2 linked regions of the Daphnia pulex genome follow. The protein of the gene in region 1 binds, or shares a complex with, the protein of each later gene. Links are inferred from orthologs where the notes say so. Each region holds a gene or a part of one and is shown on either strand. Other genes may lie near its edges.

Region 1 (5,680 bases):
CTATATTCAATTAACTGATTTCGGCCAATAAAGTTGATTGATTTTCTTCAAATACACAAAACTTTTCCCCATGAAATGGGGCGTATTACGTCAGATTCTGATCACATTAGATTCAATGACGTCAGAACAAGATTGTTTAATGTTACCGATAGATGGCACTCCAGGTATTTGTTGACTCGGTTCGTTTTCGTTCAGTGCAAAAGTAGGTTGAAAAGTTGAAAATTCAACTTGTTTTTATCTAGCTCTTATATAACAATAAGTCAATAACACGTCTGCCTCATCTCCTGTAGAAAACGCATGCTTATAGTCACGTACGTAGACGCCTTTAGAACAACATCAATTATCAAACCCTTTGAACTTTGATAGGCAACTTATCATAGTCATCTCTGCTGACTACGTCGTTAGGGAGATACCTTGATCTAATAAGTTTGGCAACCACCTTGCTAGAGAAGCTTTAGATACCTGTTGCTCTGCGCGAAGAATTTAAGGTTAAAGAATTTACTTCCAATTTCATTTGCTTGATCAAAAATAATCTATAAATACTAATTTAGGTAATTCTAGTTTCACTTTTAAACCATGGCTGATGCTAGATTGAAAGCTGTCCTTGGCCACATGAATAATGGTTATCAGGTACTATTTTATTAATATTCATTTTCATGAAAGTTGTATACATATACTTAAAACTGTGTGTACTGTTATAGGGACATATGAATGGCCACTCAAGATTCCAGTACACCTTGGACAACCCTATGTTGACGCTGGAGCAGAGGCAATTCTACGAAGACAATGGCTTTCTTGTAATTCCACGCCTTGTTAGCTCACAGTTCTTAGATGCCTGCAAGGAAAGATTTCTTGCCTTGTGTGATCGAAGAGTCCCATGGGGTGGAATCACCATGATGAAAGACATTTCTCTGGCTAAAAACAACACAGTGTCAGGTGAACGTCTTTACAACAAAGCTCAAGACTTTGTCTACGATGAGGTTCTCTTCCAGTTTTGCCTGCTTCCTCAGGTAAGCACTTGTTCTTTTTTCTTCATTTTCACGTATTCAACTATAACTTTTCAATCTTTAGATTTTGGACCATGTTGAATGCTTTACTGGACCCAATATTCGCGCTATGCATACCATGTTGATCAATAAACCACCTGATACAGGAAGTCAAACTTCTCGCCATCCTCTCCATCAAGTAATTGACACCTCAAGTAATTTATTCTCGCTCAAATTTAATTCTCTTTGATGACAGGACTTGCACTACTTCCCTTTCCGTCCGGCCGATCGTATTGTCTGCGCTTGGACTGCCATGGAACGCATCACGCCCGACAATGGATGTCTGATTGTCTTGCCCGGCACCCACAAAGGAGTTTTGCATCAACACGACTATCCCGATTGGGAGAAAGGCGTCAACAAAATGTATCATGGAGTTCGTGGATATGACAATCACCCAATGGTCGAATTGCCAATGGAGAAAGGTAATGAATCAAATGAAAACTGAATGAATTAAGAATTCTGACATTGCAAACATTTTTATAGGTGACACTGTTTTCTTCCATCCAATCCTTATCCACGGATCGGGAATGAACAGGACCAATGGATTCCGCAAAGCTATTTCATGCCATTACAGGTAAAATCATTACCCCAGTGCGAAATAATTAAATTTGTTTAATGTTGTGTTGTTGAAAAAACTTACAGCTCGGCTGACATGCAGTACATCGACATCCGCGGAACTTCACAGGAAAATATCGCCAAGGAAGTCGAAGAAATCGCCAAGCGTCGCGGCATGGAACTCGAATTCCAGGTACTAAATTCACCCAACATTATTTCAATTGTGGGGGGATTTCTAAATTTATTTTGTTTGCATTCGGGGGTTTCAGGATATCTGGCGTTTCCGTAGTCGCTTGTGTCGTGGCCGTGACCCTTCTATCCCGGCTTAGAACTCGAGTATCAACATATTCTAGGGCTTCTTTCATCCGCCTTTATTGCCAAATTAACCAATCAACGTACATAATAACAAAATGGGGTACTTTTTTTAATCTGTATAAAATATTTTACTTATATAATTCTGGGAATTTTGTTTGATTCAACTTATGCAGCTGTTGTCGCAATACAGTTAAGAAAAACAACGCCGTCATTATTTGTTATCAGCTTATCATAGTCCTAACGAGATAAAAGCATTTACTGATTCCAATGTCCTTCAACTGTCATTGCACGTTTTATTGAAACTATATAAATTTTGAAATACTTATTAAGTAAATGTCGAAATGGTGCAATGAGGAAAGGATCATCTAGTCAAAATTGATTTCAATATGAATCGCAGAGTAATTCAGATGCAACTGAGCAAGTCAAATTGCAGAGCTGTTGCGCTATTAGTCGAGGATTTAGAGTCTGAAATCTGAATAGTTAATGGACGAACCAAAAGAGAACTTGTGACATGCGCATGAAATCTTAATTTGACTCTGATCAACGGCTTACAAAAATACGGAGAATCAAATTAAACAAATTATTCTGTTACAGAAGCTTCTAGAATCAGTTTATTAGTGAATTGATAAGCGGAACGAAACGTTACACAAACGGTTCGATAATGGAACCTTATATATGCGCACAACTGGTGCTCCTACTTACTAAACTACAAAATGTTTTTGGTAACTTTAGGTAAGTTAAAGTTAATTTAATCAATTTATTGTGATTGTTATTTTGTTTGTTTCGTTGTAACCGCCCTTTAGGAATCAAACATTTTATCATTCTCGAAAATATTTTTGTGTACGTGTTCAGTTCACGAAGTAGACTTCGGAGCACTTATAACTATAAAGATACTTGTCTAGGCATGTTTCATATGTTATCTTAAACAGGGCGTGATATGGAATTGCGGTATAAAACCCACTTTTTGGTTTTTTAGTCCATTGTGGCTAGACGCAATAGCAAATTGTGTGTTTTATTCTCTACAATTCCGTAGAACTTTGTAGTATTTTTTTTTGTAACAGTAAAATTATATTGAAATGGTTAATTCACGAACGTTTCGTCAGTGAACTTGAGTTTCCTGATGAAATGTTCTTTTTTAAAAAATCCCAGCATTAATAATTATATTAGTAGCATCATTTTAAAAATTATTTTTATTTGAAATATTGTAAATAGTTTAATCGAAAATTTGCAACTTCTAGAATTTGGGATATAATTGACCACTCAAAGTTTTTACATATCAAGAAAATTTGCACATTCAGCTCTGTATAACGGTGAGTTATCTTTTATTTTCGTTATTAGGCAATAATTCGACGTTTTTTTTCAAGTACCGCTTCCGGCTATGACTAATAAAGAATTGGACAAATTCCACAGAGACGTTAGTTTATTTTACATTTTAAAACCGTCGGTAAAACCCAGCACAAATTAAAGGGGATATCGATTAGAAAGCTGAGTCACCCGCCCTTGCATTTTAACCATAGCAATATCGATTCAAAATTGCGAAAGTTTGTCGGAAGTTTTGGGGAACCGTATCGTATTCTGGCATTCTTGGTATAGGTAACAGTAAAAGTTGGGACATTGGCTTCGTCCTTGTTGTTCCCCCCCTCTCCCCATTGTTAAAGTTGCCCTGCGGCAGTACGCATTCCAAAATCAGTCGCCATCTTAAGCTTTCAAAGGCCATTCGGGTACATACATACATTCTACGCTTATTCGTGTTCCTCCCATCTTTGTTATCAGCCTTGTTGTGAGGAAAAATGTATCATTTTTAAGGAAATTCATACTCTTAAATTGGTAAGTTAATCACTTTAGTCAGTTTTAAGTGCTATTTCATTCAAATAACAGCGAAAAGTGGATTTAAAGCGATGCCCCCATTATTAACGTGTTGTGATGCGCAGATTGCTATTGTAACGTTAGGATTTCTTTTGTTGTGTTTGAGCCTTGGGAGAGCATTTTCTACTTACTTAATGTTTGTGTTTCTTTCTTTGCAGTGTGGCTTTTCCAATCTACCTTTTCAATTCAACTTAATTAATCGACTGAGTGTGCTCCTCTAACAAAATGAGCTCAACTGAAATAGGCACATTTCGTCAAAACTCACTATCTTCACACCAGTTTTGTCATCAATCAAACAACAACGTGATTGATGCTCCAATTCACCCTAGTTTGCAGAAAAGTGTCCCATCCAGCAACAGCGCTTCTCAAAGAGCTTTAAGAAGTGAAGCCCTGCGATTAGCAACTTTCCAGGGATGGCCCCTCGAATACCTTTCTCCTAGAGATCTTTCACGTGCTGGCTTTTTTTATCGAGGCCTGGCAGATCAAACCCAATGTGCATTTTGCTGCATTACCATCAGCCAATGGGAAGCTCACGATGATCCCATGGCTGAGCATAGAAGACATGCTCCAAATTGCCCTTTTGTTCTTCAATTATCAGTTGGCAATATCCCTCTCTCCAGTAATAGAAGTGTCCCCACTGTCCAACCCGTCGCCTCATCCTCACGTCCATGTGCATTCCCCTCATTGGGCGGTGGTGGTGGCGCAGATACATGCTCCCGATTTCAAAACGAATCTCGTCCCAATGCATTACCCGAAAGAGGTGAGCAATTTTCATCAATAATTTGTTATTCAGCAATTCAATCTCTTGTTGAAATTTAGTTCCAGTGGCATTAACGATCCGTCAAGCAAACGGCGGTGAAGGGCCATCAACTTCGGGTGACTTGTCATCATTGAGTCTTTTGCCACATCAACAAGCTCGTCATCCTGAATTGACATCGTTAGAAGCTAGATTGAAAACGTTTGATGATTGGCCGCCTGGTTTAGAACAACGCCCACCGCAGCTAGCTGAAGCAGGATTCTACTACATGAGTACGTCGAAATTTAATACCATAATGCCGAGCAATTTTTTATTTTATTAATTCGATTCTTTCTTTTTTTCTAAAATAGAAACTGGCGATCACGTCAAATGTTTCTGCTGCGACGGAGCTCTGCGCAATTGGGAGCCCAAGGACGACCCGTGGGTAGAACACGCCCGTTGGTTCTCGCGTTGCAACTTTCTAGTATCCGTGAAAGGAAATGACTACATCAGAGAAATTCAAGCTCGATACAAGGTATAATAAATAAGCACGAAAAGTGTTTACATCCTGTGAGTCATATTAACAAATCATTTGAATATTTGTATAGCAAAATATTCCTGGATCGAGCGCGGCTTCAGAAGATTTAGTCGAAGTTAAAGAAGTTAAAAAAGAAGAAGATGGTAAAAATGTATGTAGTGCTGCTGTGCAATCGTCGGAAGAAGCTACTGGCGGTGATGCGCCATCCACTTCTGCTTCGTCCAAACTACGTGACGCCCTTCTTTGTCAGATCTGTTATGACCAGCAGCTCAGTATGGTCTTTCTACCCTGCGGGCATTCCATGAGTTGCCCGTCCTGCGCTACTGCTCTCACCACTTGTCCCCTCTGTCGTAAACGCATCGAAGCGACGGTCCGCGCCTTCTTTCCCTTTTCTTAAAAAAACAAACATACGGTAATTAAATATTGGATCAGAGAAGAAACACACGCCCCTAGTTATGGCGGTGTACCGGAACTTGAAAACGCTTTTGTTTGTATGTGGAAGAGAGATAGCCTTTATATGCATTTGATTTAAAAAAAAAGTTGGCTTAAAATAATTAGCTACAAAATATCCAGATAATAAATGTAATTACAAGAACTCTCTCGGTTCAGAGGCACATTTTTGAC
Region 2 (5,138 bases), on another chromosome or scaffold:
AAGAAGAATGGCTGACCAGTCATCGAGTCGACACGTACAAGACCTTTCAGGCTAATCAGGTTACGCGCGGTTTCACCCGCGTCTCGAGTGATCGCCAGCCGAGATATTACCGAGTCGTCCAATTAGCTTGATGGCCACATCAACCAACCCATCACGCACGTATGTTTCTCTTTTTTTCTTTTTTTAAAAGTTTTTCCTTTTTTCCTTTTCTTTCCACGGGTTAGAAAAACCGGACCTTTTTATCGAACGGGTTGGCACGAACCGGTCCGTACCCAGCAGCTGAGTACTTTTTATTTCCCGATTTCGTTTGTATATATATATATACTTTGACTCGGACGTGATATTACATGGTGGTTATTATTATCATCTATTGGGAGGTCCATGTCTGACCGGCGGCCGCCTCGGCAGCCAAATTGAATTCTATTTTTATTTTATTTTTTTCAAAAATCAAAATTTTACCGCGAAAAATTCTTGGTGTATATTTTATTGCCGATAGCGATGTATGCGCATCTCTCTCCCCCTTCTTCCAGCCGCCATTGGGAGAAAACACACCGGGGCGGACACTTTGTAACCTTTTTTCCCGATTTGATTTATTCATCCATTTTTTCTCTCTTCTTTAAGTTCGGGGGTGAAATGTTGGAGGAGAAAATCTCTAGGCCAAAAAAAGCACAAAAACGAACGGAACCAAAACCTTGTGGAGATCGTAAAAGAAGGGGCTCAGGTAACAAAGGAGGGAAGAAGAAAAAAAAAGAGATATTTAGGACGGTGTCACCATCTACCACGACTGTAAATCAAACGGGGCCAAACGTTCCACCTCTATACTTTGTTCCCATGCACACACACGCCGTCCGTCCACTTTTTTTTGTAGATGTTTTATTTTGGCCAATAATTGCCAGGTTTGCAAACGGGTTTTTTTTCTAACGATCTTTTGACGGTCCAGCGGTGAAATAATGGCCTCAAGTAGAGTACTAATAGCTAGAGCCAATTGGAACGGGATATCCTATCATAAATGAAGGGGGAGATGGCTGCTGCTGCTGGTCTGCCTGCTGTTGCCTTGGAGATATTTGTTTGGTTTCTATTACGTTTTGGGCTACCGGTCTAAAGTCGAAAAAAAAAAATCTATTTATGGCGGAATATTTAAAGCCACACCCGTGGTTTTCCAACAGAAAATAAAGGGGGAAAAATAAAAGTTAAGAGAGAGAGAGAGAGACAGTTCAACTCGGATATCTGATCGGAATTTTAGATTTATGGAGACGTTGGAGATGCCCAACTGAGCTCATGTTGCCTGTCCATATTCCCCTGTTCCTCTCCCCGCAGCTTATTTGTAGACGATAGGGGGGGGGGGGGGCCGGGCCAGCAACGACGGACAAGAGAAATAGAGAAGCATGCAGCATTAATGAAGAGACCTGCTGATCAAAATGGACTGTTATAGGTAGAGCTTAAGAGCTCATCCACATTTTAAGTCCTCTTTGTTGGACACTAAATCCACCGGCCGTTAGTTTTACAGCTCTGCACTGCCACAAAAGGAAGCCCCTGCAACGGCCCTTCATTCATGAGACGGACTTGTAAGTTAATCGCTGACCATTTCCAAAAAAGAAAAAGAAAACGTGAACACGGTGTCGACCTCGTTTGTTTCTCGAAATAACTTGACGCCCAGTCCGTCCATTTAACCGAAATGGTTTGCCCGTGTATACAAACGGCTTCGCATTGCATTGATACAAACACAGCACTTTAGCAAATAAAAAAGTGAGCAAAGTATTGAATTGTCGTCTGAAAGACTTACTTGATGAGATAGAAAGTGCGATCGAACTTAAATCGTTGTGAAGAATTCTTGATAAGGAGAAGAACAAGGCAACATTTTCTTGTTTCGTAGCTTTTCAATCAAATACGGCGAGTCGTCTTGCGCTTGAAATAAATTTTCCGAGTCAAGAGACTCGTGACGCAGGGAATTTGCTTGCGCTGGTGCATGTTCGAGTCTTGAGGCGTATTGGATTCGAAGCCGATCGAGACTATTCGAGAGACGGTCGTCATCAAGGAGAGTAGATCGTCTTCTCGGCCGCGCTCCGACAGCACGTAGCACAACGCCTGGACGAACCAAGATCCGTTAGTCGTATTGCGCCAGGAATAGAAACCTAAAAAGGCAACCGGGGCGCCCACAAAATGGCAATGGAGTAAGTCATTGGGAGTAAATTAGGTACGTTTTTCACAATGTCATTTTTACCCGGAACAGTTGAATACGCAATCAGGAAATCCGCGTGAGTGGGTATTTTGTAAGCCACTGCACTGGGCGAATCGGTTTCTGTGACTCTGGGCAACATTGTTGTACCTGCATCCAATCTGTCCCCCTGGCAAGCCTTTTCAAAGTAAACCATAATTAACTCAAGGTATTTGGGGACAGTGAAGTCCATTTTTTTAAATAATGTTTACCTGAATAAAGAAAAGCTTTGGTTTTCCAGCCAATGTGGGACATTGGTCAGACGTAAAGTGGGACCACAATTTTTCAGGTTTGTACTGCTGGTCTTTGGCATACAATATGCCATCATCACCATGGGACATCAATGCAACGAGAACACAATCGTGTTCAGAGTGATCCTCACTTGCCACTGAAAAAAAAATCACAAATAAATCAAAATTGAAAATGAAATTCAACTATGGGAAATTGCTTACATTTAATTATTTCAGTATTTAGTTCATTGAATGTCAGATCATTGAAATATGTGACATCAAAGTCCAGTTCCCTCAACCTCATGTACAGGTTGTCTCTGTCTTTAGATGTTCCAGCACGTGGTTTTAAATCAAGATTGGGGTTGAAGTTTTCGTGATTAAAGATGCAAGCCTTCCCTCGCTTCACATGATTCATGTTATATGCTTCTGAGTCACGATCAACAGGTAGGAAAGCAAAGCTGGGAAGGTCGGTATTCAAGCCAGGCCTTCAAAGACAAAAAATAAATGTGATTAGTGATTACTTGAGTGTCAAATAGTTTCAAGCCTTTCTTTTTTTTTACTTACTGTTTGAATTTAACATCAGGTTCATCATGTTTTGAACCCAATTCATTATTCTGAATTCCAACTTCCTCCATTTTATTTTACAAAACAATATTATGCCACTTGTTGGTTAGTGTTCAGGAATGACTCAACCAAGATGACTCAAACAGTTTTATACTATTTAGCAATAGATTTTTTCACAATCACAGTTTACTTGACAGTTCCTATCTCTGTGCATTGATTTTAACGAACCTGCCTCTGCCTCCTTTATTCGAGTTGAAAAAGACATCAGCGCAACCTACTGACGAAATGACCAAGCAGTTTCCCGGACGGTTGGCGGGTTGGAGCAATCTGTTTAAAAAAATAAATAATTTATAAAATGATTTTTTATCTTTTTCTAGAATCAAGGGATGAATCACTTAGGCTATGGTGTGTTGAACTCCATAGCAACTGCATCGTAATGTTAATTGCGAATGCATCTCATTCCTTGTTTGTTGTTTCCAAAATGAGAAACTACAAGTCTGGCATTTTTTGTTCAAATAGTTTTATTGTTAGAAATCAGCAAAGAAAGTCAATTAGTCATTTTCAATCGCACAGTAAATAATTTCTGTCTTGAATTTTAAATGAACATTTTCATTCCGAATCATGCAATCATCACACCATCAACGTTTTTACAAACTGGGAAATGTCTTCCTCGAGCAGGAAACCATTAAATTGGCTGAATGGACCATTCAAAGTCGTCCCTGGTGTTAAGTAATCAATTTCTAACCAGATTTGATCTCCCTTATTCAAATTCAACGTTGATTGAAGGGAAAGGGTTTCATCTTGCACTGTGGCGCTGATCTCGTCAGAATAACTCCTTGCAATTCGATCCCCGTTCTTATACAAATAAAGATAACAATTCTGTATTGTCGAAGATCCCGTAAATCGTATCAGTCCCGTGAAGGAGAAAAAGTACTTGCCCGCGACCGGTGCCGTGAATTTGCCTGATGTAAAATTCATGGCTCCTCCCACGTTTAGTATTTCAACGTCGAATGGAATAGGGATCTTAGTTTCGTTAAAGGTTACGTTTCTTTGAGCGTAGAAGTAGGTAGGAGAAGATTTAACATCCGCGTAACCGATCCACGTCTGGAAACCTGCAAATTTGATTATGTATTACTATGTAGAACTATAAATCGTTACAAGTTTACAATACGTGAACTTGTATTAAAGAAGCTCATACCTGAGTCAAAGGGCAGTTTATTAAAATCGCAATAAACAGCTTCAATCATTGCTCTTCCCATAACGGAATATAATCCACTCAAGGTGTGCCCCTTTCTCCACAAATCTTCGCATGACTTTGGCATTCCAGTGACAGTCACTTGTCCGGTACATTCAAAACGGCCAAGTGTGTGGACACCTGATGAAGTCTCTAGTTGAGTTCGACCAAAATTCAGCCGAGTAATGGGCAGAACAGTTTTATCAGTAATGACTCCTGCGTTTGTTAAAAATAGTTGGTCGGTTATTTAACATTCAAAAGAATCTTTTAAGATGATATTGAACCATCGTCGGATAACTGAATAGGCGCAGCAGAGTCGCAGTTGCATGTTAAAGGAGTTTCGACGCAATTTCCATCGATCCCGCACTGGCAGGTGTGGGTGTCTGTGTTGTTGCCCGACCAGAAATATTTGGCAATGCCTCCTTTGTCGTTCCACCAACAATAAGAAACCCCAGCAATTTCAAAAGGAGAAAAGTTGCAATCATACTAGGTCCAGTAAAAATATTAATGCGACTATATTAGTTTCATCCATGCAAGTTTAAGGGAAACTTCAAACTTGTGCTACTAACTTTAATTATCTGATGGCATTCCGCCGATAACTCAGCCAAAGCTGACATTTGTCTACTAGTGGCGTTGTAGTTGATGGCTCTGGAATAACAACCCGGATCGGCGCAATGGCCCACGTTCAAAGGTCCTTCGCTATCGTGTGGGATGGATGTGGATTCTACAACGTCAAGTTAAGTGAAATCTTTTAGAATATTCATTCAGATTCTGGATATTTTCTTGTTCAGACCTTTAATCATGTCGCAGTAGACGTAAATGGGGTTGTCACCAACTCCCTGGCCGTCAGGATCGATCCAGTTCATTCCGGAAGTGAGGAATGGGTCCGCTAGAT

The links. The genes of interacting proteins can lie anywhere in the genome.
Region 2: the proteins of putative inhibitor of apoptosis (region 1) and caspase-1-like are in contact, whole or in part, in a crystal structure (PDB 3SIP), measured with the Drosophila melanogaster proteins. The link is inferred for Daphnia pulex from reciprocal best matches to the Drosophila melanogaster genes Diap1 and Drice. Residues at the interface, in NP_001261916.1 of Drosophila melanogaster: Gln101, Pro105, Asn106, Arg111, Arg113, Ile132, Ser133, Tyr134, Asp135, Ile136, Cys137; in NP_524551.2 of Drosophila melanogaster: Tyr256, Ser257, Trp258, Arg259, Asn260, Thr261, Thr262, Arg263, Trp266, Asp298, Phe299, Glu300, Ser301, Cys302, Thr303, Met309, His310.

Annotation. Positions count from the first base shown.
Region 1 is NC_060026.1:15,700,052-15,705,731, reverse strand, and holds the start of putative inhibitor of apoptosis, read left to right. Parts: upstream 1-2,880; 5' UTR 2,881-3,226; intron 3,227-3,272; exon of another isoform or gene 3,273-3,743; intron 3,744-3,940; 5' UTR 3,941-4,007; coding exon 4,008-4,542; intron 4,543-4,601; coding exon 4,602-4,811; intron 4,812-4,889; coding exon 4,890-5,053; intron 5,054-5,126; coding exon 5,127-5,453; 3' UTR 5,454-5,680. Other genes in the region: phytanoyl-CoA dioxygenase, peroxisomal-like, read left to right, coding at 577-630, 702-1,010, 1,072-1,185, 1,243-1,468, 1,530-1,620, 1,689-1,794, 1,871-1,930. UniProt on the Drosophila melanogaster protein: Anti-apoptotic protein which functions as a caspase regulator, using its E3 ubiquitin-protein ligase activity to smother caspase activity. Binds, ubiquitinates and inactivates initiator caspase Dronc, and effector caspases Drice and Dcp-1.
Region 2 is NC_060028.1:7,606,021-7,611,158, forward strand, and holds caspase-1-like, read right to left. Parts: upstream 3,268-5,138; 5' UTR 3,081-3,267; coding exon 3,010-3,080; intron 2,931-3,009; coding exon 2,668-2,930; intron 2,604-2,667; coding exon 2,428-2,603; intron 2,355-2,427; coding exon 2,222-2,354; intron 2,133-2,221; coding exon 1,882-2,132; 3' UTR 1,666-1,881; downstream 1-1,665. Other genes in the region: uncharacterized protein LOC124208790, read right to left, coding at 3,640-4,121, 4,208-4,459, 4,528-4,729, 4,813-4,967, 5,037-5,138.